2 linked regions of the Mytilus edulis genome follow. The protein of the gene in region 1 interacts with the protein of each later gene in a pairwise test. Links are inferred from orthologs where the notes say so. Each region holds a gene or a part of one and is shown on either strand. Other genes may lie near its edges. The genes, in order: protein LTV1 homolog and small ribosomal subunit protein uS3.

Region 1 (17,407 bases):
CTTACATTTTTCCTTGAAGGAAAACTTTTATTTAAACTAGCTTCCGATGGACTTCGTGATAATGAGCCATTTGTTTTTTGCGTATTGCTATTTGAACTGGATTTTACAGCACCATTCATTTTTGAATAATCCACACAATTGTCAATTTTTGCTGTTTTGTTCAGTGACTCATCTGCATATTCCTTTCGTGCACGTTTCCTGTTTGCAATATTTGTTCTAGACAATTTTTCATCAATATTTCTGTTTTTTGCTTTTCCGTTGAGTTCTGGGGAATGTTTAGAACGACGTGGAAGTTTTTCACTACAAGCACTTGATAAACTTTCTTGAGACATATTTCTAGTCAATCTACATGAGTTTTCAATTCGAGTTGAACTCGGTGGGCGGAGAGGAGTATCTACTGGAGTTGATGGCCTACTGCAAGAAGACACAGGAGACACGGCTGGTGATCTTGAATCAGTTGAAAATGTCATTTTTGGAGAAATTGCGAACTTTGGTGTACTATGTAATCTTGGTGAAGATGTTGGTGTGGATCTCAAACTTGGAGAGAGAGTTTGTTTAAAATATTGAGGCATACTTGGAGTGTTTGGTTTGCTCTTAATGGCTGGAGTATTTGGTTTGACTTTTTGTTGCAGCGTTGGTGTATTTGGCTTTGACGAAGGAAGTGATGGTGTGTTTGGTTTGCTTCCTGGCAGTCTTTTAACCTGACTAGACTTTACATAGGCTGGTGATAATGATCCCAATGAAGGACTTTGTAAACTGGCAACATTTGGATGAACAAGGCGTTCACCATTATCCCCATTTACAATGGGATTGTCAGAATTGATCAAATGTTGCCAATTTTTCACTAACTTTTTAGCTCTTTTAGCTAATTGTTCATTTTTTGTTTTCTTCCTCAATTCATTTACGTATCTCCCAATTCGTGTTTGCTGAAATGGAAAAAAATAAAATAAAGTAATAAAGATGTATTAAAATATCACCTCCATTCTTAAGTTAATGTGGAATAATTTTACTTGCATTTAAACTCAAGAAATTCATGACTACTTTAATATAAATAATGAAGTGGTCAATCTCTTTTTTCTTTCATTGTAGAGATCTAAATGTTCCTAGTTCCTGTGTTCAAAAATCTTCAGCAATCATAATTTTGATTTGGCATCTGGGATATGAACCTTTCTCAAACTAGTATTTATAGAGGTTTTGACTTAAATAATGTATTTTGTATTCACATTTTTTGTTCTAACAATGGTTATTAATTGGTTTTTCAATAGTTTTAATTGTACTATTTGTACAATTCAGGTCTTCAATTCATATTCAGGTTATACAAGTTCAACTTTTTTCCTTTTCCAAATACATTAAGGGGGTTACCATTTGATTTTTATGGGGGGGGGGGGGGGGGGATAGGATGAAATTTGAAAAAAAGGCAGCATGACAATTGTTGTAAAAAAGTCAGGATAAGCTAAGGAAAAAAAAAAGGCAGGACCGAATAGACTGAAAAATAAAAAGGCAGGACAGAGATTACAACTAAAAACTAGAGGCCCTCAAGTGCCTGTGTCGCTCACCTGTTACTGTATTTACTGATGTTGGCCATCTTGGGTGGTAGGTGGGGTCATTAGACACTTTTTTAAATAGATACATTAGTAATGATTGTGGCCAAGTTTGGTTAAATTTGCCCCATAGTTATAGAAAAGAAGATTTTTGTACAAGTTACAAAAATGACGAAAATTTGTTCAATATTGACTATAAAGGGCAATAACTCCTTAAGGGGTCCTCTAATAATTTTGATCATGTTGACTTATTTGTAGATCTTACTTTGCTGAACATTATTGCTGTTTACAGTTTATCTCTATGTATAATAGTATTCAAGATAATAACCAAATACTGCAAAATTTCCTTAAAATTACCAATTTTAGGGCAGCAACCCAACAACAGGTTGTCAGATTCATCTGAAATTTTGAGAGCAGAAACATCTTATTCTGATGGGCATTTAAATCTTGAAAGATTTGCCCTAAATATCTTAGTTTCAAAGATATAAAGCAAAAACTGCATTTCACCACTGTTCTAATTTTAGCCATGTCGGCCATTTTGTTTTGTAGGCGGGGTCATCGGACACATTTTTTAAACTATATACCACAATGATAATTGTGGCCAAGTTTGGTTAAATTTGGCCAAGTAGTTTCAGAGAAGAAGATTTTTGTACAAGTTACAAAAAATGACGAAAAGTTGTTAAAAATTGACTATAAAGGGCAATAACTCTTAAAGGGGTTGACTGACAATTTTAGTCATGTTGACTTATTTGTAGGTCTTACTTTACTGAACATTATTGCTGTAAACAGTTTATCTCTATCTATAATAGTATTCAAGATAATAACCAAAAACTGCAAAATTTCCTTATAATAACAAATTCAGGGGCAGCAACCCAACAACAGGTTGTCCGATTCGTCTGAAAATTTCAGGGCAGATAGATTTTGACCTGATCAACAATTTTACCCCGTCAGATTTGCTCTAAATGCTTTGGTTTCAAAGATACAAGCCAAAATATACATTTTACCCGTGTTCTATTTTTAGCCATGACAGCCATCTTGATTGGATGGCCAGGTCATCGGACACATTTTTTAAACTAGATACCCCAAGGAAGTTTGTGGCCAAGTTTGGTTAAATTTGGCCCAGTAGTTTCAGAGGAGAAGATTTTTGTAAAAGTTTACGGACGCCGGACGCCAAGTTATGAGGCAGGACACAATTTTTCATCCTAGCCCCCCCATAAAAATCAAATGGTAGCTCCCTAAGATTGAACATCTTTACACATTTTTAGTGTATAGTATGTCATGGTGATCTTGTGTAAAAGCAAATAAGTGTCAGCTCAGTCAGTATGCTGTGCCCTACATGTTAAACACATTTCTTGAAGAAAAAAAAAGCAAATTAACTCAAAATAAAATTGGTAAGATGTGTCTGCGTAGCACTATGCCACTTTAAAATCAAAAATTAATATCTGCAGATGGACATCAGCCAATCAATCGGACAATCTTGATTTGTGTTCATATAATGAGAGGAAGTGAATGTTTGTAAACGACTCTTACCTCCAATGCTTCTCTAGACATAGGATATTTCTCCAATAAGGAGATAACAGCCACCACTGCTGCCATGTCAACAACCTGAGGAAACAAAGGAAACTTTTTTATACAGAGATATAATCCACTTTGAAAACATATGGCCTATAACATTTTAACTTTATTGAGTCTGTCCTAGGTTACGGGGAGGGTTGGCACCTTTGAAATAGTTTATCCCCGACACTTTTTGTATGTGTCTGTCCCAAGTCAGAAACCTGTAACTCAGTTGTTGTTTGTTGCTGTTTTACAAGTATGTTTTTCATTTAATATTTGTACATGCACAATAAACAGCTGCGCCATGAGTTCATGTACGCCCTTCGCATATCCATAGAAGAAGCTTATTTTCAATTAAATGGGCCCTCCAAGGAGTATAGTACAAAATAAGACGTAAATAAAACAATAACAAAAAGAAACCAGATGCTCCGCAGGGCACAGCTTTATAAGACTGCAGAGTTCAAACCCTGAACAGTTGGGGCAATTATGGACAAAACATTCAAGCTTGATACAGCTCTGATTTAGAATAGTGATTAAATAGTTGACACGGCAAAGGTTTCTCACACAGAATGAATGTGGTCTAATGAACTTAAAAAAATGTTTTATTCCTTTTGAGAAATACACTTGCTGTTGAATATAAATCCCCTCAAAAAAATATTAGAAGAAAAATTCTTTTTAATCTGAAATGAGAAAAATTTTACCCCCACCCAATTATTTTTCCCCTCCCCCTTTTTCATATTCCAAAAAATATCTCAATTCAAGTTTCTAATTGAGTTGGCAATAATAACTTCTCATGTAAATGCATCATAAAATATTAAAATAAACAAGAATGTGTCCTCAGTACATGAATGCCCCACTCGCACTATCATTTTCCATGTTCAATGGACCGTGAAATTGGGGTAAAAACTCTAATTTGGCATTAAAATTAGAAAGATCATATCATAGGGGACATGTGTACTAAGTTTGAAGTCGATTGGACTTAAACTTCATCAAAAACTACCTTGACCAAAAACTTTAACCTGAAGCGGGACAGACGGACGGACGGACAGACCAGAAAACATAATGCCCCTCTACTATCGTAGGTGGGGCATAAAAATGACATACAGTCATGGTTAAAATTAATATTAATTAACAGTAACTTCTAACAATAAATTTACTAATACACATCTCAATACAATCATTTCTTAATACATAATTTTCAAGCAGTGTAAGGGAGCTAAACAAGTAATCAAACATACATTTTGTATATGTAACAGTGTTTCTTAAAATTTTAATTGGTTTACCTCCCCTTCACTGCTTTTAAATTGTCTGAATTAACCAGAAAAACCCTTGTTTTCCCCCTTTTTTGCCCCTAATTAATTAATGATTTGAGCCATAACCATCCCTTTGTAGTATGGAAACTTGTGGTATTATTTCAGAGAGATTTAAAAACAAGTAATTGACTGATAACTACAAAAATGCTTATTTAGGCCCCTCACTTATTGAAACCCCCCCCCCCCCCCGACCCCCTGAAGCAAGAACACAAAAGCTAAATTCCAGCCTTTCCTATTTAGTATGAAACCTTGTAGTATAATTTCAGAGAGATCCATACACTTAAACACAAGTTATTGTCTGTAAACTAGAAAAATGCTTCTTTTTGGCCCTTTTTTCTTAATGTTCAGAGATATTAACCCAAAATTGATTCCAAGCCTTCCCTTCGTTATATGGAACCTTGTGGTACAATGTCAGAGAGATCAATACTCTTAAATACAAGTTATCGTCTCTAAACTAGAAAAAAACTTGATTTTGGCCCCTAAATACTGCATGAATTGAGCAATTACCCCCAAACTCAATCCTAGCCGCCTTCATTTTGTGATATAGAACCATGTGGTACAATATCAGAGAGATCCATAAACATACACACAAGTTATTGTCCAGAAACAACAAAAATGCTTTTTTTGGGCAACTTTTTGGCGGTATAATTTAAGAGCAATTGAAATACTTATACACAAGTTATTATCCTGAAAGTAGGAAAATGCTTGTTTTGGCCCCTTTTGATATTAATAATTCAAAGTTTCATGAGAACTGCTGAAAGCATTTTAGAGTTATTGTAGGAAAACTGGAAAATCCTCTTTTTTAATGATAAAACCCCATAACTCGGAAACATTAAATCAAAAATTTATAAAAAACAAAAGGGAGCTAGTGTTTCCTACAGGTGGTTTTGGCGTGTAATGGCGCCCTGTCCTTTTTGGGAAAAAAATTTGGCGCCCTGCCCTAATTTTGTCGAAATTCCTGACGCCATGCCTTTACCGTCGTAATTAACAACCTGTACTGAAAGACATATTTTATGAATACCGCTCGAGTTATTTCCCTTCAAACGTAAACAAAAGTTCACTAGGACGCCATGTTGTAATAGATTTCGTAATCAGCTGATTAGCAAACTGCAATAGATTGAATAGTGAATACAGATACTAATCATGCCATCAACAAATCGGATGAAGCGAAAACGTGAGGAAGAAAATGAGAAACAGGCTTCAAAATGGAGAAAGCTTTTATCATTTTTTCAAAGGTTTGTAGATTTTTATTACAAAATGGTTACGCACTTGCAACGGTGTTGGTTCGGGGGTTAAAAATAAACTTTTGTCAAAGGGGTAATTTAAGGTTAAAGTTGAGTTAGGCCAAGGATCTCATCAAATCACTTGCATATTAATTACTTTCAATTAATTCATTTTTTCATCAAATTATTTTTTTTAAATTTACTTCTTCAGTTTTTAATTTGAATTAATCTAAGAAAGGAACAATTTATGAAAAAACTTCCAGATTATTTAAGATATTCTTGTTTTATGTGTTATTTATTTATTTTCAGCACCAAAGAGGCACGGAATGTTTGTGACACAACGCAGAAATAGACAGAATATGTCAACTGTAAACAATCTTGTTCTAGTGTTAGCAAATACCAAATCAATAGATGATTTGGATATCAGGGAATGTGTCAACCTGTTTTTAGGGAAAAAAAGGAGGATTTGTCAATGACAATTAATATGACCAAAGCAATATTTTTATATATATGACATAGTTCTTTCTTGTTTTTAAACATTTTTAAAGAACTGATTTTGTTTTTAATTGTGTTTATTGTTTTAAATATTTCATATATATGTTTTAAACACTTTTTCTTGTTTAACAATTTGTTTTAATGATTGATAAAATTTGATTACAGATGTATATGTCCTTTTTATAGCATTAAACTAGTATGTTTTAAATGAATCCATTTTATAGAAATTGCCTGTTTATATTAAGTAAGTGCCCTAAAATTGTTGTCCATCGCGCTTAATGTGCCCTCTGAGCTAACAATTACCCTGCCCTTTTTAAAAGCTGCAGGAAACACTAGGAGCTCACATCGTTAGATATATATAAACAATTCACTAAAGTTTTATGCAAATTAGTTAAAGCATTTTGGAGTTTATGTCTGACATGTTGATGACGGACGGACAAAGATATACCATTTACATTATACGTCCACCAAACAGGCCTATAAAAATATTGATGGCCGTCAACTTTCTTGTTGGAATTATTTTTCTTTTGTCATTTTGGTGATTTTTGTAGCAGACTGCAGTATGGGTTTTGCTAATTATCAAAGGCCATTTTGTCTTTTGTGCAAAGTTGTCTCAAAAGTAAGTATACAGCATATTTTTATATCAATACATGCATCCACATTCAAAATATCTGGTGTACTTGCTCCTGGTTGGGATTTGACCTTAACCGAATTCTGTTTTATTCAAGCCACAACTAGACAATAGGAGCTCGAGGACTATGAACAAATGATACATAAAAATGAGCAAATATCGAACGCATTCAGCCTTCTTTATATTTAGAAGGATTCTGTTACTATTTTCTTGTAATACACTTGGAGGGTTTGATTATGAAATCACAAGTCGTCTCGAAGACGTGTTTGCAGCAATGCCCGAAGCCGAGAAGGTGTTGCTAAGCAGAAACAACAAATATCTTCATTTTCTGTCTCTACTCAATTATGATGCCTATTGAACTTTTCGTATACAGTACTTAATGGATCTAATATCACAAGCATGGATTTAATTTGTTCTTTAATATGGTAATATTCTTTTTAAAAAATCACCCAAGTCTTAACCCTTTCAACGCTATACACGGCATATGCCGCGATGACATACGCCGTCCGCCACTGCTATTCGCGGCATATGCAGCGATGACAACGGATTTTTCATAAGGACTCTTAAACCATTCGGTTTTCATTCGGGTCCTCTCTAATTTTTCCTTGTATGAATCGAGGATATGCAAGGTCTCATTTGCGCTTGAAATCCCGGCAATTTTTATTGTAAAATCATGCAGTAGAAGGAAAAATTGAAGGAAAATAAAAACAAATATTTTGACAAATGCAAATGGCGGAAATCGGAAACGAAGCTGTAAATATGGAAATATTTCAGCATTTCTATGGCGAAACTGATGACGAGGATTAGTTAAAAGGTTTCTTGTTATCTCAATGTGTTTATTACATTCAATTCGTGTGGGAAATATGATTTGATCGATCATTACGAGACGTAGAAAAAGGGGGGAAAACGGAGGTTGACTGAAAATTTTGAGGACGGAGCCACTGATTTGTGCCATGATTACATAATACGTTGTGTATGGTGCAATACGCTACGGAATCGAGCAATGGGTGTCTTCTTTATTATATGGCAGATAAAAAAACCCAAAATAGATGAAGACGAAAAGTAGTTTTTATTCAAAATTCAACACAAATGTAACAAATTACACCTTTTACCTGTTAATTACCTGAAAATGCAGGTAACCTGATAAAGATTTTACTGAAATAATTGCCTAACATTACAGTTCATACTCTCCTGAGCATTTTTCATGCAATAACTTTTTCTGTATCTCTTACAATAAAAAAGATACAGCAGTCTGAAAAGGAATATACTGTTCTAATGAATGAACACAAAAAAAATGCAGCAGCAGCAGCCATTTTTCTATTTTTTTGTGTAGCGTTGAAAGGGTTAATAATATTAATAATAAAGTGATTGATGTATATTAGTTTTTGGTGGGGTTCATGTTGTTTATTCTTTAGTTTTCTATGTTGTGTCATGTGTACTATTGTTTTTCTGTTTGTCTTTTTCATTTTTAACCATGGCGTTGTCAGTTTGTTTTAGATTTATGAGTTTGACTGTCCCTTTGATATCTTTCGTCCCTCTTTAAAGGAGTTAACTTTTATTAAGAAATTAAAAGGGAATTGCTTTAATTTTCAATTTTTTGTTTTTTTTAAATATTGGATTGTCGAAGTTTTTCTTTCCTTTTCTGTGTTCTGGATTTTTCTACAGGGTTATGAAAAATGAGATCATTTCTTTCCAGGTAATGAAGATTTCATTTGGTGTCTTTTCAATATGATAATTGGGGTTAATATCAACAAGTACTTGAGTAATGACGATATCTATCATGTGTATCACTATCTTAGCTAGAACTGGGTATTCCTATATAAAAGTATTAATCTTCACCCTAGTTGACATTCCCACAAAGTTTGGCAAAAACTTACTAGTCCGATTGAAATTTTACTAGTCAAGGACATCGGACTAGTAGCTAAACGTGCAGACTGTGGATGATACTTTTTTTTTAATTTCATTTATTTTAGTTGCTCTCAATAATTGTACTTCATTCTTACATGTACATAAAATTCAATCTGTTCATGATTTTATATCTCTGCTCATTGAGCTAGTGTGAAGAAACCAAAAGAAAAATTCAACAGATATTTTTTTTAAGAGAGGTTTATTATTATCGTTCTTCTTTAAGTTATAAATGTAAAGACTTGTCATTTTCTTTCTTAATCTTCTTTTGAATAGCCCCACTTGGTACAGTGTATCATCTCTTTTTAAGATTCATGTATCTAAGCTGCAAAACCTATAGCAAACTTTGTCTTTTTTGTTGATTGTTTTTGCTTTCCATTGACCATGAATTTAATCAGTTTAATTTAGGGTTTGTTTTTAATTATATTTTGTACACCACTGCCCTACTGGGCTAGGTTGGGGAGCAGACCTGTAGCCAGGAGTTTCCAAAGGGGTGTTATTTGGACTCATGAACTCAACTTTAACAGTCACAATTCAAACAGAATGTTGACTTTAGGGAGCTACCATTTGATTTTTATGGGGGGGGGGGGGGCTAGGATGAAATTTGAAAAAAATAGGCAGGACAGGAGTCCCCCCCCCCTCATAAAAATCAAATGGTAGCTCCCTTAACAGTGCTTATTTGTTTTCAAGTGAACCCCCTCAGACTATGGGTATGGGGAGTGTCGGGGGACATCAATCATTATTAATTCCACCCATGTGTACCCAATCCAGATCCTGCAATTCACTGGATGTTGTTTGCTGTTTTTAATATAAAAAAAAAGATCTTTTGTTGATTCACAACATTTTTAGCTTTCTATGAAGTGTGGGTTTTGCTCATGTCAAAGACAGTGATCAATATTGATGATGGGAACATCAAGTCATCAGGAGAGTTATCTAATCAGCAATCAGACATCTTAAATATCTTTGTATAATGAATTTTAAGTTTTACTTGTAATGTAAATCTCATCTACCAAAATAGCAATCAGAAACAAAAGGTTAACTTGGTTGATGAATTATGAACGCCATGCACAGGTAACATACTAAAAGTTCTTTGTTTGATTAAATGTCATTTATAAATGAATGGATCACACTAGTTTCAGCAAAAAAAATCTTATAAAACATTTAAATGTGAAAAAAAATAAGTCCTTGTACAGTATACATCTACTTTCAGTAAACTTATTTCACAACAGGAATGAGATACGAGTGAACTATAATCAATATATGCACAGATCAAATTAATTAATTTGCTTGATATGTAATTTTTAAATAAAAATATTTTCATATGGAGGATTCCGTTATATAAACCATAAACAATTTTTATTTTTACTTATGAAAATTCACGCATGTATGTTTCGCCTATCATCGGTAAATAGTTTGTTTAAATAGCTGATCGAACACAACATGGGAGCCATGCACAACTTCACCATGGGACAATTTTATATTTCAATTTTCCCTGTTAATTTCTTACATTATTTTCCTCATCAAGGCCCTTCAGCAACTTCTCCTTTAATTCGTGCGGACTGCACTGCATTGGGACGCCAAAAAGCCCCCAATTTAAAGGATTTCAGCCAGCTGAACGACTGATGTTGTCCGTCCAGTATGGCGGACTTCCATACATTGCAATTGTACGGATATCTATAGCGCACTGGCATCTGGGAAGTCTCTCTCCAGTGTCGTGACGTAAAGTGACGAACGACTGGACTGAGCAGTGCGCGATTGTAGACCACGTGGTTACGATAATACGATATCAATGACGTAGAACTTCCCTTCTAAATCTACACCAACATATCATTTGCATTAATTATTCAGTAAAATGAGACTTTATTGTTTAATATTTATTAAGAGTTTGGTCAATTATAGAAAATAGTAGAAGTAGAAGAAGAAAATGAGGACCGACGAGCGGACTATTTTTTGTCTGATTCAGTCACACAAATATTTGCCAAAAGAGGGCTCTGATAGCTGAGTTGACTATTTGGACATTTGATTGGCCAAATGTACCGCATTTATTAATTGGTTTAGGTTTCCATTCGGATTTTAACAAAACTTATAAACACTAGAGAAGTTTCGAGTAGCACTTCCGCACATTTCCAAACACGAGGTTTAGAAAATGTAAAACACATCAACAACATTTTCAACCAACCAAAATAATGGTTTGTAACAAACTTTTGACCTGTTCCTATCATTCATCCCAATAATTATTTACATTGTGTTTCAAAAATGACAAGTAAAATCATAAAAAAAAATTTAAAAACCGTAAAACTAAAAGGGTGAACACTTTAATTTATTGATGTTGGATTGTTGTTTTGACCTCATAAAAATGCATACCAATTTATAATAAACCAGCACATCAACTCGGAAACCTGTGATTACTGCAAACAAAAAGAAAATGTACAACACTACCTTTTTGAATGTGATCTGTATTCAGATGCCAGAGACAAATTATTTCATCTGATCAAATCTAAGGACCAGACATGGGGTAAATTGTAATTGTAATCGTTAATCAGCTGTAATTGATTACAATTTTTCAAGTAATCATTGTAATCATTAATCAGCCAAAAAATTTGATTACATGTAATTTAATTGAATCAATTACTTTTCAAAATACCCTGTAATCCTGATTACTTTTTGATTACATTTTGATTACAATGAACAAAATCAAAAACTGTTTATGGTCAATAAATTAACCTTTTTGTTTATATTCATATTTAATTGTACACTTCAGTAAAAAAAATGTTACAGTATTGAACAGTCATCATTAGCCTAAGTAAAAGATTCACAATTTAAAGATGTATATATACTTGATAATAAAATAAATTATTATTATTACATATTTGATAATAACTATTAATTTTAAGTAATACTTTTCTTTAACCCCTGAATTATAATTTTTTGTTAATATTGTGATCTTTGTCCACTTTGAATTGACAGGTAGGTGACCAATTAAGGTTTGTTTCTATTGCAATTACCAATTGTGTATAGCTGTAGTGTAATCATGATAATATATATGATAAATGATAAATCAGACTAATTGATAGAGGACAAAAATGTAGTTCAAATTAAAAAAAAAATTGTATGTATTTGGACTGGACATGTAAAATGCTATGATTTTTGGTACTTATATTTTGTTGACAATTTGATAAAACAATATTAGTAACATTTTACATAGTTTTTATGGCCCACCTACGATAGTAGAGGGGCATTATGTTTTCTGGTCTGTGCGTCCGTTCGTCCGTCTGTCTGTCTGTTCGTCCCTCTGTCCCGCTTCAGGTTAAAGTTTTTGGTCAAGGTAGTTTTTGATGAAGTTGAAGTCCAATCAACTTGAAACTTAGTACACATGTTCCTTATGATATGATCTTTCTAATTTTAAAGCCAAATTAAACTTTTGACCCCAATTTCATTGTCCATTGAACATAGAAAATGACAGTGCATGTTTCAGGTTAAAGTTTTTGGTCAAGGTAGTTTTTGATGAAGTTGAAGTCCAATCAACTTGAAACTTAGTACACATGTTCTCTATGATATTATCTTTCTAATATTAATGCCTAATTATATTTTTTATCCAATTTCATGGTCCATTGAACATGGAAAAAAATAGTGGGAGCGGGGCATCCATGTACTTTGGACACATTCTTGTTAATTGGTAATTTTATGTCATCCATATTTTAAATTCCTGAAACTGAACCTTGAAATACACATGATACATGGAGAGGTTTGATGACAAACACCAAACTCTTTATAAACCTTTATTTAATTGAAGTAAAAATAATTCAGAGATCAATGATGATTAAGTGTAATGGGTCATAACCAATGACATGTAAATATGCTGTAAATTTTTGTAGTTTATTAAACATATAAAGTTTGATGTTATTATTTTATAACATATAAAATTCTTTTGCAAAAATACTCATTTTGTTATATTAAACATTTATTCATTCATTCACATCAGTTAAAATGTTTTTTTCAAAAGTTCATTGTAATCAGATGTAATCATGATTACTTTGCCAATGTAATTGTAAATTTAATCAGATACTTTCAGAAATGATGTAATCGTTAATTTAATTTAATCATACAAATGCCAAAGTAATTGTAATTCTCGACACTCCTAGGAGTCGAGATTAAGAATTGAATGATGGACAGTTAGTGCGTGAATTTTTCTTTCTACCTGATTGGAAGATATTACGAGACGTGAATAATCAAAGTTTATTGATTGGTTAGGACAATCCAAACCAAGTAAATGTCCTTCAATCCTGTAGAGTATTGGATTTGTCCTCTCTATTTTAGCAATTAGATTTTATACAGGTAACCTTTATCTATAAATAGTCGAATCTTCTGGAGTAAACAAATATGTTAAACGATACTACTTCATAGCGTGTGACCTCACGTGTGTGGTAAAATTTGTTGATTGATGCACATGACTATATTCTAGTAAATGAATTAATCTACAAAGCGAGAGCACTTTCCATTTTCATCAGCTAAGAGTCGAATAGCCTTTTTGAAAGGCTAACGCTTGTTTAATCAATTACATTGAAAGTAATCAGACCCATCTCTGAACAGGACAAATTCCAACAGATTTAGACAATTTATTAACAATCACTTTGCCAAATGCAAAAAATATCACTCAACTATTAGGGGAGTACATATAAGAAAAAAACGTTTTAGTGGATAATTTGATACAAATTTCTTTTAATTTTTATTATTTTTTAATTTTTCATGTCATTTCAATTACCTAATTAACAATTTTTTTTATTTTTTTCACTTCATACATTGATTCTTTAATATTTTTAAAGCGCCACCTACAATATAAAAGTACAAAGGAGTAACTACATTAGTGATTAATAATTTTACAAGAGAGGATAATTTACAAGAGAGATTACTCTGTCATCACGTCAAAAAGATTGAAGATTGAAGACCTCATTGTCTGACGTTAAATCAGTACATTGTAGTTGTTAAGAATTCCTCTTGAATGCAGACAGGTTAAACAAAGACATGTATTAAAATTGGGTCAAAAGGTTTGGGACCTCCACACTTCAGAATCTATCTCGAAGATGGAGATGGTCGATAGTAGTCAGAAAGTAATCTGACGTCCTAGGGCTGTTTTGCCAGACAAGATGGGGCTCTTTGACGTCCCACATCAAAAAGTGGATATTTGCCCAACCAAAATAGATGCGCTGCTTCGTCGCTTCTGGTGCCGTCTAACAGCCTTGGAATTATATAAATTGGGCATCAATCTGTTCAAATTCACAATGTCTGAATCAAGTTGTCACTATGAAAACTGTCTAAATATGAGAAAATAAATGGTGGCAGGTAGGTGAAACTTACATAAATGAAAAGATGAATGAAAAATGAACAGATTGATGCCCGATTTATTTAAATCCAAGGCTGTTAGTCGGCACCAGAAGCGACGAAGCAGCGCATCTATTTTGGGTGGGCAAATATCCACTTTTTTATATCGGACAGGCTCTGACGTCCCACGACCCCAGCTTGTCTGGCAAAACAGCTGTAGGACGTCGATAGGAGAGGTGCTCAGTAATAATAACAGTATGCCTGCAACAGTTATCATAACACTAGCATAGTCCAAATAATTATCGTGAAAGGCTATTATATTTGTTTCTTTGACAACCTTACATCGACATCATAATGCTGAAGCCATCATTTTCGGTCTGACTTTTAAAACATATTTTGTTCTCAACTTTAAGACCCAATTTAGCCATAAAAGTTTCATTGAAGGCTAAAAAAATATGCATATATATACAAAAATTCTTACCTTTTAAGTGTTTGTGCAAAATACTTCCAATAAATCCCTAAAGTAATAATAAAATAAGTTACAATTCCATCTTCTGCTTTTTTTCAAACGTTATAAGGAGATTATAAATAATTTTTTGCACCAAACTCGGCCAATATTTGACAGACCCAAATTTCCAGAACCTTTGTTTTATATTATCCTGAAATTCAGGTCCGTCAAATTTTACCAGGTTTGGTTCAAAAATATATTATATACACCTTAGGATTAGGAGAAATCAGCTAAACAATTTAATAAAGCAGTTAATTCCCTCTCAAAGTCCAACTGCAAATATGAGTTTGGCTTTATGACATCGATGTAAGTCGTCAAAGAAAAAACATAATAGCCTTTTAAGACGTCATAATAATTTAGACTAAACACTAGCCTTTTCTCGATCTTGATATCTATATCACTAATGGAAAGCTGAATACTAAAATTTATGATAAAAGGGGTAATTTTTCATTTCCTATCGTTAATTATCCGTTTTTAGATGGTGACGTTCCCTTGTCACCATCTTACGGTGTTTATATATCTCAACTTGTACGATTCGCTCATGTATGTAACAATGTTTTAGATTTTAACGAGAGAAATTTATGTATTACTGAAAAATTATTACACCAGGGTTTTCGATATCACAAACTAGTCAAAACATTTACTAAATTTTATCATCGGTATAAAGACATCATTCGTAAATATAGCTCAACATGCAGACTTCTAATACGTTCAGGTATTTCACATCCAATTTTTTATGGTAATATTCTTTATAAAGCACAAAAGTGTCAGTATTCACCTCAGAAACTTACAAAACCTTTGAATAGACTTATTAAGAAGGGATATAATTACGATACTGTTGTCAAGTCATTAAAGATTGCATATTTTGGCGTTAATATTGAGTCACTGATAAGGTCTTTGCATCGGAACTAAACACATTATTTTTTAAAAACAGTTGTTGGCATGACACGGGTTATGTTCTTCTCATATATGTTATGATGGTATGATACTAAACCCCTAACGGGAAGGATTGTGCCTGATGTTCATATGATGAAATCATAATCTTTCAGTCAGTTTAATTGAAGTCTGGAGCTGGCATGTCAGTTAACTGCTAGTAGTCTGTTGTTATTTATGTATTATTGTCATTTTGTTTATTTTCTTTGGTTACATCTTCTGACATCAGACTCGGATTTCTCTTGAACTGAATTTTAATGTGCGTATTGTTATGCGTTTACTTTACTACATTGGTTAGAGGTATGGGGGGAGGGTTGAGATCTCACAAACATGTTTAACCCCGCCGCATTTTTGAGCCTGTCCCAAGTCAGGAGCCTCTGGCCTTTGTTAGTCTTGTATTATTTTAATTTTAGTTTCTTGTGTACAATTTGGAAATTAGTATGGCGTTCATTATCACTGGACTAGTATATATTTGTTTAGGGGCCAGCTGAAGGACGCCTCCGGGTGCGGGAATTTCTTGCTACATTGGAGACCTGTTGGTGACCCTTTGCTGTTGTTTTTTATTTGGTCGGGTTGTTGTCTCTTTGACACATTCCCCATTTCCATTCTCAATTTTATCAAACATGCTCAATACACTCAACTGGCCAAAATTAACACCACAGATTATGTGCATGCCGTGTGATATACAAGAGCACACATCATCTTGTTTCTATTCCAGCTAGCACAATTCTCATCCCATCAGACTCTAGAACAAGAAAACATCATTTTCACACCTTCAGACATGTTTATACATCTAACGACTCGCAGAGATTTTCATTTGATTTTTCCCATACACAATAATGCAATGGAATCTATTACCAATTACAGTTGTTTATACACAGACAGTCAACTCTTTCAGAGAGCAGCTTACATACATGCTTGCTATTCTCTCCACTCATTTAAATAGCTTCATCTTCTGTAAATAGATTAACTATGTCTGTTCTCTGCATCTTTTTTCTCCTATATTTAACAAGATAGCAAAAAAGAAAACAATGTACTAGCAAAAAAACTTACATCTGTTCATTTCAGCCTAATAAAAAGAAGAAATTCATAGATAAGAAAAATGCTGTTACCTTTCACCTTGTCCACAGAAGTCAGAGAGATCCATTGCAAGCAAGTGAAGATGCCTCTTTGGGAGTCCTGTTATCGACCAATGATAAAGTAAGTTTTTATTACTTTTTATTAATTTTTTTACCAAAACAAGCAACCAGCAAATTGCTCATACATGTACATCTTCCCAGTACTACAAAATAGCATGACTTTATACATGTACTTGTTAAGCAGCTGGACAATTGTGAGTTGTAACATATTAGTACTTTTCAGATATGTAAGACATCTACTTCCTTTTTTGAAAATGATGCATCCGCGTCATGTTTCCGATACCATTGACCAGAACCGGAAGTTGATTATATTTCCACCTACCGCACTCGGTTCCATATTTACTATTTTACATACTAACTGGAATCTGCTTGTAATACGCTACACTCGAACAAAGTGTTGTAGTTGGATGGGAACCAGTTTACATACTTTATTTTATTAATAAACAAAAGATCTTGACCTGTCCATAGAAAGACTTGTATAGTCCGCAGTTTTATTCTCCAAAATTGGACCTTCCAGAGGGGGTGCGGACTATAGAGTACAATAAGCAAGAAATAAGAGAACAAGTTCAATTTTCGCGGCAAGGTGGTTTGTTTACATTCCGCCATCTTTGTTATTGATATTGTAGATGGCACTCTCATCATTTTTCAAACTAATAGTTTTAACTCATCCATATTGATAAGTTATTTCTATTCAATATCAAATTAATACTGATAAATATAAAAAATAAACCTTTCATTACAAATTTCTCGTTTCTTTTCAATGCATAAGCTGGTTCTCGGCTGACTACTACACTTTGTTCATAGTTTGAGCAGATTCCAGTTTATTCAATGCATCGGTTGAAATAA
Region 2 (17,819 bases), on another chromosome or scaffold:
CTTCATTGGATTCCACATATGTTTTTATGTAACATCACTAACTTTTATGCCTACCTTTGAAAGTTACCTGACTTGACTATAACTCCATCACTGTTATTGACTATAATACGACAGGAATCAGATGTGTCAGTCAGTGGGTATTTTTTCTCAGTTGTTAGTGGAGACTGGGTCTGAAAACAAATTCCAAATATCATAGCAAGAAAATATCATAGCAAGAAAATATCATAGCAAGAAAATATCATTATTTACATGTTTATGCATTTTTAATATACATGACAACAATATTTGGTGAATGATAATTATAGAATAACTAATCGAAGAATTCAAATAGAGAAAAATATTCAACGAGTGACCGAACAACACATTAATTCACGAATGTGCGTACCGCATGAGTTAATTATCAGGGTTGTTCTGTCACTAGTTGAATATTTTTCGATATTTGAATTCTTTAATTATTTATTCTTTTTATTACATTTGCAAATGGCTTTTTTTAAAGAAATTAATGTAAAACATGTAAGGAACTATATCTTTTCTCTACACATTCACAATTTGTTTTGATCCGCCATAATCGAAGTCTTGACAACGCATATTGTTGTATGATGTCAGAGAGTGTTTTTTTTTCACTGGGAAATCAATGTAATTCATTGTAACCAATGTAATAATCTTGAATATCAAACAAGATGAGAGCTATCATACTGATATTATAAAGAAAGAAATTTTTGTTGTTGTTTGTTTTACTTTTAAAAGAAAACCCATGCAAACACTGTTTTTATGGAACCATATAAAAACCAAAAAGCTGCACAAAGCCACAAACTATCATCTGAGGAGTGTTTATGTTGTGATATTGTAAGGTATAAAAAAGTAAACTATCAATGTTTATATTAAAGCAACTCAATGGCCTGCTCAACATGAAGCTAAATAATTCTTCTTGTTTTATTAACTAAATGTTTTTGATTTAAAGTAAGGTATTGAAGGCATAGAATAGAATAAAGAAGATAATTGGTATGATTGCCAATGAGACAACTAGACTTCACAAGAGACCAATTTATGACACAGAAATAAACAACTATAAGTCTCTGTAGAAGTTCATTATTAAAATTGAGAATTGAAGTGGGGAATGTGTCAAAGAGACAACAGCTGAAGGCCACCTGGAATGAGTCTTTAATGCAGGGAGAAACTCCCGCACCCAGAGGCATGCTTCAGCTGGCCCCTAAACAAAAATGTATACTAGTTAATGGACTTCATACTTAACTAAAAAATATATACAAGAAACTATTGAATTGTTTATCACTCTTTTGTAGAAAGATGATCTGATGAACCATGCCATCTGTATAGAATACAATATTATACTTCATGACATTGAATGACATACATCTTTAAGCCACTTTACTGCTCGATATGGATCACCACCGCTACATCCATCGTTATATGTGGCACAATCAATAACTTCCTGTACGCTCAGTCTAGGGGGAGGTAATCCTGTCTGTATAGCTTTCATACTTTCTATAGTTTCTGTTGCACTGAATGCCCTGGCAATATAAATATAGATGAAATTGTATTATGTTTACCTGGATATTTCAAAAATGTGCAAAATTCCCACAGAATTGTGAAGAACATCAATAATTACTGTAAATACAGAAATAACACAGTAATCAAAGTACCTGTAAGCACTGAAGCGTAAAGATTGTGTTAGTTTATCAGTGGGAAGTAAAATTATAGATTGCAGTGTCAATAAAGCATTGGTTGTAGTTGATTCAAATACAATTCTGGACAATGGGAGATAACTCAAGTTTTTAAAGATGACTAGATTTGCATTGTCTGTTTGGCTACGGAAGTACATGCGTCATGATAAAATGGAATGAATTAAGTTTTTTTCTGTTACTCATAAAGTTATTAGTGTGTAGCTTATAAATAATTTAAAATGTAGATACAGATAATGTTGAGATGTTGTTCATGTTTTATTTTCAGGTAAAATTTTCAGATAATACAATGTTCTTTGTTAATAAAATGTAAAATATAACTCACACCAATTAAGAAAAGGTGTTGAATGTGTCTAATAAGTACTGACATTTGGATAATTATCTATCTGTACTTTTCTACTTACCAAGGATTTGTATATGTAAGTCTTACTATACAAATCTTCGCACTTACCAACATCCTCCACATTTCTTCTGATTCTTTACTGGAGTCACAAAGTTTATGTTGCTAAAATTTCTCCTGTAATACAAAAACTAGAATTAGGTCATGATTTAAATAAGAAGATGTTGTATGTGTGCCAATTAGACAACTCTCAATTCTAGTCACAAGCTATGAACAGTTAATAATTATAGGTAAGAGAACAGCCTTCAACACAGAGCATTTCTCACACAGAACAGCAAGCTATAAAGGCCCCAAAATGACTAGTGTAAAACCATTCAAACAGCAAAATCAAGTCAAATTTCTATACAAATAATAAGGCACAGAAGACCACCTTTACACCAGACCTGCAGCATAACTCTTGAACTTAAAATATGCACTTGTCATAAAGGAACTTATAGACTATGGTCACTGATAATGTGTTTGAAGTTAAATATTTTGTCAAAAGGAACATTAACTATCATAAAGAAACAAAAAGACATATCTGTTTGAAAGAAAATTGATGGGAATATTCTGATCAAGATGTAAAATCTGTAAAAATCAGAATTCATTCCTTATCAAGGTTCTTAGGTTCTTAAAAAATCTGTCTAGTGGAAGTTTAGTTCTAATGAGGAAATCGAAAATTCCCAATTTTCAAAAAAGATTAAGGGGCATAACTCTTGAATTCTAAATGCCAAAATCTTGAAAACTGATATGTATTTTATGGATCATGACATTGTGTTAAAATTGAAAAAAGTTACTATCATCTGAAATTCATTTTTTAATTGGAAACCAAAACTAATAAATATCAATTTTGAGATGTACCAAGTAGCATAATTCTTGAATATAATGGAAACCAAAGGCTTCAAATAAACTTGAAATAATGACAACTGACAATACTGCCATCATCACCAACATCAGCTCAAACTGTTGAAAGATTCAGAGCTGTCCTGAAGGCATGCTCTGCTAAAATTTAGACAGTAACATCCTGTACATAGTTTTAATTGTATATATATATATATATAAAGAACGTTAAATCCTGTAAATAGCCAAGAGAAAACTTTCTGTGTTGTCTGACACTGTGTTAGTTTTCGCGGGACCTCATACATTCAAAAATTGAATTCGGTTCCTTACCTTGAAGAAGAAGAAGAAAGTGTTATAAATTTTTTTATTTCGAGAAGTAGTACAATGTACTTTAATTATCAACTGGTAACCAAACATGTGCACAGGGAGGAACCATGGAAGTAAAATAAATATAAAATTTAATGAATGGACAAACTGACATACTTGTGCATCTATAACTAAAGCCTTGCAATTTCACTACATGTATTATATTATTCCATTTTTGATGTAGGCATTTCAGCAATGTATTTAGGAAACATAGAATTTCAATTTTTTAGTTAATATTTAAATGAGTTACTATAAAGTCTGTGATATATTTTTGATGGTTGTTTGCTATACCTCAGTAGCAAGAAAAATGAACGTTAAATTATTATCACATAGCCTGGAAATTACCAATCAACTCTTTTTGGAATATCCAATCTTCTGAAGAAATTACTTGGAGTATGATGCTGGTTTTCATCTTTTGTCTTTCTTGAAACTTTCAAGTCTGATAAATACTGATCTAAAAAATATTAATATGGTGTCAATTTATTGATATTTTATCTTGCATTGAAAATTCTGTATTTAACGAAGGTATATAAAACTATGTACTATATATATGTTATATTCACTATTACAAAAATATTCTGCAATGTTAAATGACAAAATAAGTCAGAATACATACATCCAATAAAAAAGTGTAAGTAAAATGAAAAAAACAAATTGGAGACAGTCATGCAAGGTCTTAATATAAAGAACCAGATGCTCCGCAGGGCAAAGCTTTATACGACCGCAGAGGTCGAACCCTGAACGGTTGGGACTAGTATGGATACAACATTCAAGCTGGATACAGCTCTGAATTTTGATTGTGGTTAAATAGTTGACACAGCATAGGTTTCTGACACAGAATGAATGTGGTCTAATGAACTTAAAAAAATTGTATTTGCTTTTGAGCAATTCACTATGCTGTTGAATATTAATCCTCTCAAAAAACAAAAATATTCATTATTCCAAAAATGATCTCAATTCAAATTTCGAATGGAGTTTGCAACAATAACTACTCATTTAAATACATCATAAAATATTAAAATATAAAATGTCATACAGTCAAGATTCAAATTAATATTAATTAATAGTAACTTCTAAAAAAATAAATGGGGAATGTGTCCAAAGGGACACAGATGATGCTTCCACTAGCATTTAACGTTATAAAGGAACATAACTCAAGAACTGTAAAAGTGAAGCTGCCAAAAATTGAACTAAAACTGAGTTTAGAGGTAATAACCATTATATACACATTTCTTTAAATTAAGTTGAGACAAACTTAAGTAAAGAGAACAGAAACTAAAGTATTCTTCAATTTTCCATTTATAAAGGGGCATAACCCTAGAATGGTAATCAAAGTGCTTGTAATCACTGAATGGTAAAGACTGATTTAATTTATCAGTTGGTAGTAAAGTGAATATTGCATTGCATATTGTATATAGCATTGATTTAAGTTGATTCAACTACTATTCTGGACAAAGAAAGATAACTCCAATTTTCAAAGATTTCATAAAGCATTGGTTTAAGGTGATTCAACAACCATTCTGGACAAAGAAAGATAACTCCAATCTAACATTTTATATTGGCAAATTTCCAATGAAGTTCATTAAACTTAAGTTATTGGCAAATTTTAAATGGAATTTATTAATAGTTAAGTTTTTGTCAAATTTCCAATCTACATAATTTAAAAGCAGTTTAGGTGAGATATTCAAATGAGTTTCAAACACCAACCTAACACTGCTTTTCAATTATGTTTTGTACTTATTTAATTGTCCATTAACCTGGAAACCCTTTTCCCCCCTTTTTTGCACCTTATTCCTTAACGGTTTGAGCCATAACTCCCAAAGACAATTCTTACCATCCCTTTGTGGTATTCCAATATCCAAAATCTAAATACATGGTTAGATTCAGCATATCAAAGAACCCCAGGAATTGAATTTTTGATGAAATAAAATAAAGTTCAATTTTGGACCTCACTGTGGACCAATTTGATAACTAGGCCCAAATATCATAAATCTAAATACATGGTTAGATTCAGCATATCTAAGAACCCCATATATTCAATTTTTGTTGAAATCAAACAAAGTTTAATTTTGGACCCCAATTTGGACCAACTTGAAAACTGGGCCTATAATCAAAAATCTAAGTTGATGTTTAGATTCAGCATATCAAAGAACCCTAATAATTCATTTTTTGATGAAATCAAGCAAAGTTTAATTTTGGACCCTTTTGGCCCCTGATTCGTTGGGACCAAAACTCCCAAAATCAATCTAAACCTTCCTTTTGTGGTCATAAACATTGTGATAAAATTTCTATTAACTTACACTAAAGTTATTGTGCAAAAAACAAGAAAAATGCTTATTTTGATACCTGTTTTTGGCCCCTAATTCCTAAACTGTTGGGACTGAAACTCCCAAAATCAATCCCAACCTTCCTTTTGCGGTCATAGACCTTATGTTAAAATTTCATAGATTTCTGTTTACTTATACATGTATTTAAGTTATTGTGCTTAAACCAAGAAAAATGCTTATTTGGGCCCTTTTTGGCTACTAATTCCTAAACTGTTACTGGGACCAAAACACCCAAAATCAATCCCAACCTTCCTTTTATGGTCATAAACCTTGTGTTTAAATTTCATAGATTTCTATTTACTTTTACTTAAGTTAGAGTGCGAAAAACCAAATGTCTTTGGACGACGACGACGACGACGACGTGATACTAATATACAACCAAAAAATTTTCAGTTTTTGCGGTCATATAAAAGTTCATTATTATTTGTTCTGCTAAAAATAATCGTTGACTTAGATATATAGATTTGTCTCCCCTTTCCATTCATTAAATATATGTCTCCCATCACTATTACTGTAAATAAAAACAGAAATTCATAAAATTTGTTTCAATTTTCAATTTTCAATTTCGCCAACATTGAAACACTTAAAAGAGAGCTATACTATAAAGTTATAAATGGCAATACATGTATGTACAATTAACACGACAATGGTATATTATTGGTCATTGATTACAGTAGGCAGTTAGACAATAACTAAAATGAAGCCTACCTTTAAATTCTTCAGGTGAAAGATCAGAAAATTTAGTAGGTCCATAGTAGGCACTTAAGTGTTTGTGAGTTCCATTTAGGAATCTCTGGAATTCTAAATTGGTCTGAAAATATAAAAAACTTATAGAGTAGTGAATCAAGATAAATGATAAACAACAAAGTAACAAAACAGCAAAATATCTTTCTTTCTAAACTTCAATTACAAAAACAAATGAAAGAAAAGCATATATTTTTTTTAACATTTCCTTTGGATAAGGTAACTTTTCAATTATTTTTATTTTCAAACAAGAAGTTGATTTATTTAGTACACATAATAATAGTTTTATTGCTGTTCTTTGGATAAAAATTAATTATCGCTAATTTACAAATTTTTCCTTTGATCTTGGTGACTGATAATTTTCTTTCTCAGAGGAGTTTAGTGATAAAAAAAATTATCACTAGAAACTAAGGGCACACATGTCGTTGTGAATTAAATTAACAACGTCGTCATAGGTAAAATACCGATTATAATTGGTCATTTCAACTCGATTGCTTTTCTCACTTTTGCTGTACCAGCTCAAGCGAGAAAATCAATCTTGTTGAGATAAAAAACGATAATCTATAAATCTTTTTTAAAAAGCACAGTTTTTGTTTAAGGTATTATTATTCCTGTGTAGTTTGTGCACTAGATTTAAATTTGTTCAATTTTACATCTAAATTGCTAATTAACCAGAGCTGTAACTTAGCCATAATATATATATATATGTCTAGATGTTACTGTGCATCTACAACAGCAGACTAGTATATATGGCAAGCTCTTAATCAAATTAAAATAAATTCAATAGTGTTCACCAAATATCCTATAGCAAAACAACACAAAAATCTATATGGAAAATTGTAAAAATGTAGGTACATATATGTATTATATATTTCTTGGTTTTATTTTAAAACTTTATGTATATATATATCAAAACAATTTGTTATATTTTTTTCTTATTATAATCAGAGGTAGTTTTTACTCTCAGATATTAAGTTTATAAATTGACATCCATTATTGTATATGTATGTCCTGAGTTAAAGTTTCATACTAAATGAAAAATTATCCTCTCTAATTTTCTACATGCAAACATCATTCTGCATCAACTTTCTATCTTAATACCGTAAGTTCCTCATATATATAGACATGATGGAGATTCTTGCTGCTGACCATATGTATGTAGAACATGCCACACTCCATCATTCTCAAAAAAGATTTTTGGTAGATTTTAACAAAAATCTGCTAAAGAAAGTAATCTTTCCCTTAAAATAAGTAAAAAATTTAAGATGCCCCTTTATTAACTAAAACATGTTAAAGCCCCAGAAAAATTGCTTTCAACAAACAATTGACTTCTGCATATAGACATGCAAATAATTCAAAATGTGTTTTATGTAGACTTTTGCATCAGTGTTACCACTAATGCACTTGGGTGTACGTAGCTATCAGCAACTTGAACAAGATAACATCACAATGCCTACATCACGCTCTCAGAGTAACCAAAACACAGTTAAGCTTCAAACCATTGTGCTTCAGTGTGGGCATCATGGATCCAAGTATCATTGCAGTTCAGAGTCCTACATAAATATAAACTTTCTTCATGCAATGATGTTTCAGGTTCTTAGCTTGATGCCCTGTTTGTCATTCCTAATAGTAATAATTAATATAGTACACCATAGTAAAATGGAATATCTATCTGATAGCAATCAAAATGGAATAAAGAAAACTAACATTATAGAAATTGTAATCAGTAATAAAGTGTACTGAACAACACTTCTAAAATATAATATGGATTAAAAAAACAGTGATATTGATAAGCTAAAAACAGTGATCAGGACATGGTTAGTTTTTTACCTTGTAGTTTTGATATTTTTTGTGGAACACTGGTGTTTCTGAAATGCTCTCTTTGTTAAATTTTTGAAGGTAAATACTGAATTCTTTAATCTCGCTGCTGTTCACTAATAAAAGAAGAAAATATAATACCAAAACCAAAGTGAAAGTGAAACTTGACATAATGCAAAACTAAATATAAACCGGAACTCCGTGTAGAACACTTTTCCGGAACTAATCATATCATAAGTTGTTATCAGTTAGGTACAGATTTAAAATGAACATTTCTAATCAAAGATAAATTATTTTTTCTAAATTATTTAACAAAATGAAAATTAACTTTCCTTAATTAAGTGTATAACTATTGCAAATATCATGCGGAAATAAATCCGAGATCGGTCTCCCACAATACATTTCGTTCCACTGTGAACTTCCTCTTTAAAATTGCCGTCAACATGGCTAACCCAATAAGTAAAAAACGGAAGGTTAGATTCCATTTTCACTTAGTCTTCTGAATTTTATAAAGAAGTAAACGAACCTAACATAAACACAAGTCATTATAGTATCCATTTTGATAATTTTTTGTTACCGATGGCGAAGTTGTTGCCCGATATTGAACGGATGGATATGTATGTTCTTTCGTTTTAAAGTAATGCATAGTTAAATTGAGTGTTATTCTGATTTCAAATCATAGGACTAATTCAATCGTATAGTAGTCACGTTTGCAAGTTCATGAATCTCAAACTATAACTTGCATACTTTTTCAAACCTGCAGCTTTTCCTTGAAATCTCGGACTTTGCCTATGATTTCTTCAGATAATTTTCATCTAACTGAGGCCTAGAAGTAGACTTGTATTAAGGTTGTAAAAAAATCGTGAAGCTATGATTTATTCACCCGAAATTCATGATTTTTGGAATATTTCTGTCAATCCCCACTATAAATGAATCCGTGGTTTTCTGATTGCATGCATTTCTCAGTCTGCCTCGAGTTTGGGAGGTTGTGGGTTCGAACCAAAATACAGTATACTTAACAATTGGCATTTGCTGTTTCACTGCTAAGCACCGAGCATTCAACTGTATCGTAAGAGCAAAGGCTGGTCAACTTGAATAATGTGTTTGCAAGTAATGTATGTAGCCATTGTAGAGTGATATTTCTCGCTGTATACTAATACCTAGCAAAATTAGCAATGATACATAATATGGCTCAGAATTCATTGTAATTTTATACAGGATTTATATTGAATTGTACCATATAACTAAATAATATGCATTTAATTTTCAGCTTGTCATAAACTCCCATCTGTATTATCATAAAAATTGAAAACAGTTGTAGATGCCAAACATTTAGATAAAAAATATATACGGCTTAAAATTGATTTGGCTAGAAGAACATTCTACTAATCCTTAATTTATCAATGATGTAAATACATTAAATTTCTGAGTAATGGCTCCATCAATATCGTAGGTTCAAGAAACAGTACTCCCTATAGCTAGTAATACATGTACAATGTAGGTAAATTAAGTTTTTCTGTTTTGTAGTTTGTTGCTGATGGAGTTTTCAAAGCAGAATTGAACAACTTCCTGACAAGGGAACTGGCTGAAGATGGTTACAGTGGTGTTGAAGTCAGAGTAACCCCAACACGAACAGAAATTATTATTCTGGCCACAAGAACACAAAATGTTCTTGGTGAGAAGGGTAGACGAATCAGAGAACTGACCTCCGTTGTACAGAAAAGATTCAATTTCCCTGAAGGCACAGTGGAGGTATTTCAATTATTATAATACTGGTGAAAATATTATTTTTCCAATTTTCAGTGTAAAATGTTAAGGTCAGTCCGGTACTGTCAGCTTCTTAATTATTGAGCTTCCTACTTGAATTGCATGAACTCAATATTCCAATCGAACTGTCCTTACTATAATTAACCACACATGTGTCAACTATAAACACACATCACCTTTATATGTTGAAAATTTTGTACAACTTTGATAAAATACACTTCTGTTTTTACCAATTATTTTCTAACCAAAAGTCTACATCACACAATGCCACAGTTAACACAACAAAAGACAAAAAAGTAATGACACAAAAACTAACTAGAAAACAATGAGGAGATGCAATGCGACACGACAAATTGTACAAATCCTGGAGAAAACCCTGCCATGTCAGACAGACATTTTAGTCCTACATGTACAAAATAAATCTGACTTACTCTAATTGACTGAAATAAGTCCTCAAGATTGAATAACAGACCACAAGCAGGCAGATGATATTGTACAAGAATTAAACATTCATTTGTATTGTAGATAATTAAATTTATACTGTTGAACTATGCATGCTTTACATTATGAATATATCTGTTTCAGTTGTATGCTGAGAAGGTTGCACAGAGAGGATTGTGTGCTATCGCCCAGTGTGAATCGCTTAGATACAAACTGATTGGTGGTCTTGCTGTAAGAAGGTAAATTTTGACACTAGTAAAAAAATAAGGAAAAGAAATGTTTGCATCAATGAATTTGCAAATACACACTCTACACTTATTCTTTTGAGCTAAAAATGAAATACCAAAGTTTATTTGATTATGTCCAATTATATAAAATTGATTTTGAGGTCAATGTTCAAGGTCAAAATAGCTTTTGATAGATCAAACTGGGACATTTATTTGGTTTCTGTATGGTATTTGCCTCTAGATTTTTGTTCATAAGATCAAAGGTCATCATCCCAACAGGAGCAATTTTAAGTTTTCAGATATCTTTTGAAGCAAATCTTGAATCAATGCCAAGTTTGATAATATCCCTTTGTTTTAGAAAAAAATAAATGTTGGCAATAAACCATCATTCATTTGACAAATATTTGATGCAAACTTTTCAGGGTTTTTTTTTACATCTAAAACCCCTAAAAAAGAAATTGTCATTAAACTTTTGAAACAATATCTTCAATCATTAGCAAAACTTATTTTGTTCATGTCCTTTAAATAAACATCATGATTTTAAGGTCAAGGCAAAGTTCATTTGTCAAGTAAATATTTATTCACAACCTATCTGACATTAATTATACAGGAAATTCATTTAATAGAAAAAAAATCTGCAATTCATAGGATAATAGAAGTTAAGGGGATAAATTTCTTTTTTTGATAGAGCATGCTATGGTGTTTTACGATTCATCATGGAAAGTGGAGCTAAAGGCTGTGAAGTTGTCGTTTCCGGTAAACTGAGAGGACAGAGAGCCAAATCCATGAAGTTTGTTGATGGTCTCATGATTCACAGTGGTGACCCAATCAATGAATATGTTGACACAGCTGTTAGACACGTCCTTCTCAGACAAGGTATGATTGTTACTGATGGCAGGAATGTAGAATTGTTTGTGAATCCTTCTCCCTGGGCATGCCAATCTAAATTTAATTTGTTGTGAAAAGAGTAACTTCCCTGAATTTCCCAATAATTATTGAAGTAATTTATTGTAAGCTATAATGGGTTTATATCACAATATGACTGTGATATTTGTTTTATATGTGTTAAAAAAAATGTGTTTCAATTGATTTTTGTCATGTGTAATTTTTTTACTCGCCCGCTGGTAATCCAGACAAAAAAAAATGTTGTGTTCAAATGTACAAGTTGGGAAATTGCAATTCCACACCCCTGGGTGATGCATAATTTTCAATGGAAACTGTTTCGATGAAAAGACTTGTTAGCGAACACTGGAAAAATTTAAAACGAAAGGACAACAATAATTTTAAATTTAAATCAGGGTTAATTAATATGAGTTAAAATCAATGTTTAGAATCATAACAATTGTTTGTTTGCAAAAAAAAAATCCAAGCAAGTTATGGTACAATAAGAGCAATATAAAATGCCTCAGTAATTATCTGTTTACCTGTTACAATTTTAATTCCCCCTCTGCTGCAGAGGAGTCGTTAATTTTACCCTTGTCTGTCTCTAAAATGTCTGCACATCTTGAAATTGGTTTCTATTTTCTAACTTTAGTGTGCTTGTTAACGATACTTAATACTACAAAAGACAGATTAAAAATGAAAATTGGTGGAGTCACTCTTACTGTTCTAGAGTTGTGCCCCTTTACAAATAGATAAAATTATGAATTTTTGTTTCTTTTCTCAAATCATAACAAATTACAGATCAAGTTTGAGTTTTGTTCCCATCTTATGATTTTCTTCAGAGCTATGATCCTTGGACTTAAAAAGTCACTCAAAAAATCAGTTTTCCACACTTTTTTGTCTTGATTGGAGATCATGACAAGTTACAGATCAAGTTTTGTTTCGGTACAGAGAATTTTTAACTGGTAGGGAACTGTACATATTGCCATGCAAAAAACTCAGAAAGCTTGTTTTGTATTAAAAATATACGATGCAATTCCTAATTATTTTTCATGCATTTGTGATGATGTTGTGGATTAAAAGGAAATTGCAATAGCAAAAACAAGTTTTACTAATCCAGTTGTTATGATTTACAATAACTACTGGTTCGCTGACTTGTAACATGTACATTTTGAATAGTATTTAATTGAATATTGAAGGCTAATCAGTAACATAGGTAGTATTACCTCCAGAACATTGACCATAGGTGAAAAGGCTAAAATAAAAAATGAGATCCCCTGTAGCGAAGGTTGCATTAAGTTTTACCTTTGTCTGTAGGCCTATATGTTCCAAATATGTGGTATGATTGCTAATGAGACAACTCTCCTAAAGAGACCAAATGACACAGAAATAAACAACTATAGTTAGTTTCTGTTCTCCAACTTAAATTTACCTCTACCAAATTTTATGAAACTTGTACACAATGCTTATAACCAAAAAAACACAGATCAAGTTTAAACCATCATCATATCTAGGTTGGACTTAGTAAATACAGCTGTTTCACAAGTCAATCCTCTTTTGGGGAGATATATATATTATTTTCATAGATATGTTAATTTGTTATGGTACTGGTTCCCAGACATGATTTCTGTTTTTCATCTCATAGAGACGTAACTAACTTGGAAATGTTGGTAACTTTATACCAGTATAGAAAATCAGGGTAGCGCCAAAAATTTAATTCTTAAAGGTCCTAAAGTGGGGGTAGGGGTACAATGTAGTATAGAATATTAGTATAAATTTAAATTCTTAGAAGTTCAGGGCATATTAATGTTGAAAATATGTGGCACAGCCCCATATTGCAGTCCGTCTCTGTTTTTTCTGACCATTAGTCTGTCCTGCTAAGGGCTATTCCAGAAAAAAATGTTTCTGGAATAGCCCTAATCAGTTTTTCACTCTTTTTTCATGCACAAAGATATTGATTTAATAATTAAGGTGGCTCATGGGTACAAAAATTTTAGCAAAAAATTAAACCTTTATTTTTTCATTACAAATTTTATTTATTACACTATTAGTTGTAACGAACTATGGTACAAAAAACAACCCAAAAAATTGATTTGGTTTGGCCCCAAATGACTAAAAATTGAAAAAGCTCCAAATTATCTCCCTTTGGTGCAAACATGCCATTTTTTGGCCTTAAATTTGAAATATCTTTTTTAACTCATCGGTGACCTATATTTTTTATTATTATTTTCAAATAAGCTGTACATAAACTAAATAATTGTAAAATTTAAGTGATTTCTTATATTAGGTTATTTTTTTATTTCGATATTTCCTCTTTTTCTCCTATTAGTTCAACAGAAAAAAAGGACATTAACAAAAATGTATGCTTCTTCCAGAGGCAGATTTTAGCTTAAATGAACGGTGACCCCATTTTTTTATTTCATTTTTCTTTTAAGTATATGATAAAGTTCATTTATGAAAAAATATAGCGAAATCCTATATTAGAAAAAAAATTCATTTATACCCAGGAGCCCCCTTAATACAAATAGTTTAATCATTTTATTCAGGTATGGTCCTTATAAAAATAAATCTAAATTTATCTAAAATTGTTTATTTACATTAAACTAGGTGTACTTGGAATTAAAGTAAAGATTATGTTACCATGGGATCCAAGTGGTAAGATTGGACCCAAGAAACCATTGCCAGATCATGTTATTATTGTGGAACCTAAGGATGAGGTTGTTCCTTCAAGACCATTCTCTGAGCAAAAGGGATCTAAACCTACAGATCCAGCCCAGCCACCTGTTGCATTATAAAAGTAGGTATACACTCTTACTGAGAAGAGACACTTTACAAAAACTTTGACAATAAATATACTGTGGATTTATAAATATATTCGTTGGATACCAATTTTCACGGATTTTGTTGGTACAATTGAACCACGAATTCAAATGTTTAATGAATAACAGATTTAAAATAAGGTTGTATGCAGACTTTCACAAAACCATGAAATCAAATATCTACAAAAAGGCATATTTTCGTCAATCCAATAAAATTGGTAACCACAAAATTAAATGAAACCACAGTATCATTTTTAAAAATCTTGGGATACTAACTTTTAGTCTTTTACTGACTTTTTTTGTTATCCACAAATTTTAGTGTTGAAGGAAGTACACATTTTCTATACATACACAGAGGGAAAACCATGAAATCAATTATCCATATTTACAGTTTTCCTGAATCCAAAAAAATGATACCCACACAAATGAATAAATCCACACAATTCCTAACTTTTAAGTTATCTCCCTTTAACGATCTCTAAAATAGAAGATCACTATTCCTTCCAATCTGTACATCTATTATAGAATTATAAGATGCAACTCCTAATTGTATTCCATGCATTTGTAATAATGTAGGGGATTAAATGGAAATTGCAAAACCAAAACCAAGTTTTACTAATCCAGTTGTTATGATTTACAATAACTACTGGTTCGCTGACTTGTGACATTAATAATGTAGATTTTCCAAAGTGATGATGTGTAATACAATGTGGAAATATTTGTTGTGAGCACTTGTCCCCGGGCAAGTGAAACCTAAAATTTTACTTGTCCGGAAAAAAAATTACTTGCCCTGATGATCCCAATAAATATTGAAGTATTTCTTGTTAGCTAATATATGATTCTAACGTAGCACTGTTGTGCATCACAAACAAATGAAATCTATTTGTTTATATGTGTAAAAAATTAGGAAAGTAGGAAATGGGTTAACATCAATAGGACAGAAACCTAACAGCAAACCAACCAATGAAATGACATGTAAAGGACAATTTTTAATACAGCAGTTTTTGAATAAAAATTGTAGCCAGTTAGTAGGTACATATACAGTGTTCCCGCCTGCCCTAAATAGAAGGGCGCCCCGCCCGCCCTAAATAGAAGGGCGCCCCGCCCTTGGTGCCCTTACCCCCGCCCTTCTGCCCTCCAAAGCCAAAGAATGCCCCCCTCTGCCTTTTCAAAAGATACATTTTACAAATTTCATGCCTTCTGGCGTTTCCGGTAAAATTGTTACCTGAGTGATTGTGTAACACTAATTAACTGACAATAGGATTAAGTTAAATACCTAATGCCTTTGGCAGTTTTATCACCTCTGCTAATGATTGTTCACTGCTAATTAGTGGATTTAAGATAATTGAACAAATACTAGATATTTAATACAGAATGAAAATGCTGACATGTTAGCCATTTGTAATGTTTACGTATCATAGCATATGTACACATAAAAAAAAATATTTTTAAAGAAAATTTAAAACAATTTAAAAGGCAGACTAAGTTTTGAGTTAATTGGTAGATTGGTAAAAACGATTTGTTTTTATAACCACCAGTATGAAATTAAAAGAAGAACCAAAGAAATTTGTATTTGAACATAACAAGATTGCACCACTTCCTGTTTTATTTCTTGTATTATAATCCTCCTTACATAGGAGCACTTAACAAATGCTTTTATTTTTTAACCATAATGGAGTTTATACCTTCTGTAATATATGCAATGTATTATTGCATCATTATAATATAATCATCTCTTGTATCACCTGTTATATTTATAAAACTCCCTACTTAGGAGCCCTTTGGTGTGCACTTCTTAATACTTTTTTGTAACAATTTAGGTAACTTTCAATAACACAAATACTATATGTCTAAACAAGTAGTTTTAATGTAAATAATTTAATTACATAACAAATTCAATTTTGTTTAGCTCCATCTTTCAGAACTACTTGTTTATTTTTATAGACTTGTATAATTAAGTTATATAAATTATAAAATAAAAAAAAAAGATTTTTCTAAGGATTTTTTTCCTGATCAAAATGCACAGTTTGCATAAATTTACATCAATTAAAATGATATGCTTTGTGTCATGGTATGATAATTTGATAATAAAAAAATCTTACTGGAACCAACACTTGGAACACATTAATTTCTGAATAAGGTTAAAATACAAGTAATGTTCTGCAGCTGAGCCTAGCAATATATAATACATATATTCAAGGTTATTAATACACTGCCAAACAGTGCCCTTACAATTTGGGTTATTGCGCTAAAGTGCCCTTTCAGACAAGTAGCACCCTTCTGCCCTGAGATTCAAGCTGGAACACTGATATACTAAATTTGAGGACAGTGATTGAAGAAATGTAAACTAAATAATAGATAAACTATTGATTTTGTGGTGTTTCTCTCAACTGACACACTTGTTTTTTTCTTGATTATTTATTATTTTCTTAATGGGCAATTAAAGCGTCCCTTCTATTTTCCACTTTGACAACAAATAATGTTGACCTTTCATCTATAAATAAGACAAAAACTTAATTTATTTTCCGAATTTTCATAGATAGCCAGGGGCAATCTGATATCCACGATGTCTGAAATTCTCGCTTCCGTTTTTAAAAAAAATACTCTGTCCTCCATTTGCATTTAAGGTTTTCTACTCGACTTATGACTTTTTTTTGTCTTGCTTGCCCACCTTTTTATTAAGTATTTATCAATCTGAATCTCTATACAAAATTTAAAGAAATGACACTTCCGGTAAATGATGGATAAAACCTAATCGACGATCCCGGGTCAATAGACAAAGCCAATGCAAAAATACGCGATTCGGGTTCGCATACTTATTTTTATTTATTTTGGTAATCGATCTATTTCCAGTATTATGTTATATTTATCATCATGAACATTATGTTTGTACTTGCTGAACATTGGTTTCTTTTACATAAATTAAACATCTTTAAAAGTTTTGAAATTTATTTTATGTTTTTGTTGGATACTTTGTCTTGTATATTTTTTTACTTGTCCACGGGCAACCAAGACAAACATAATTACTTGTCCGGTTGTTCAAATGTACGAGTCGGGCGAGTCAGGCATAGCATTTCCACACCCCTGTACATGTACATAAACTATTGGATGGAAATGCACTAGGATGTTATAAATATTTTGAAATCAACATTTTTGGCATTAAAGGCTTTAATATTTATATTTGAAATGCAAGAAGTTTGAAAAATAGAAATACTCGTTACTAAAAAAGTTGATACCCACAAAAATGAATAAATCCATAGTAGTAGGTTAAAATCATACCATTTAATTAATAAACTAAATGCAGAAAACAACAAAACAACAACTTATCAACAAATTGTGCAAGTTGGCTTAGCATTTTTGAATAAAAATAATTTGTGGTATCTAGGAAAGTGGATGTTACCTATAAATTGAAAAAAGAAAGTCATATGAATGTTACTAAAAGCTACATTAGCTGCCAAGTTTATGATCAAGGAATTGACTCCTACTCTTTAATTAGTCTAATGCGTGTA

The links.
Region 2: the proteins of protein LTV1 homolog (region 1) and small ribosomal subunit protein uS3 interact in a two-hybrid assay, tested with the Caenorhabditis elegans proteins (2 studies listed by BioGRID). The link is inferred for Mytilus edulis from reciprocal best matches to the Caenorhabditis elegans genes T23D8.3 and rps-3.

The regions. Positions count from the first base shown.
Region 1 is NC_092344.1:118,740,902-118,758,308, reverse strand, and holds the start of protein LTV1 homolog, read left to right. Parts: upstream 1-10,722; 5' UTR 10,723-10,848; coding exon 10,849-10,851; intron 10,852-16,490; coding exon 16,491-16,622; intron 16,623-17,407. Other genes in the region: mediator of RNA polymerase II transcription subunit 26-like, read right to left, coding at 1-926, 3,072-3,146, 10,170-10,232.
Region 2 is NC_092351.1:20,190,122-20,207,940, forward strand, and holds the start of small ribosomal subunit protein uS3, read left to right. Parts: upstream 1-8,519; 5' UTR 8,520-8,617; coding exon 8,618-8,647; intron 8,648-8,921; coding exon of another isoform or gene 8,922-8,922; exon of another isoform or gene 8,923-8,940; intron 8,941-9,701; coding exon 9,702-9,926; intron 9,927-10,526; coding exon 10,527-10,621; intron 10,622-11,297; coding exon 11,298-11,485; intron 11,486-14,098; coding exon 14,099-14,286; 3' UTR 14,287-14,288; intron 14,289-17,819. Other genes in the region: cathepsin O-like, read right to left, coding at 55-170, 1,373-1,529, 2,152-2,217, 3,631-3,739, 6,321-6,423, 8,187-8,345.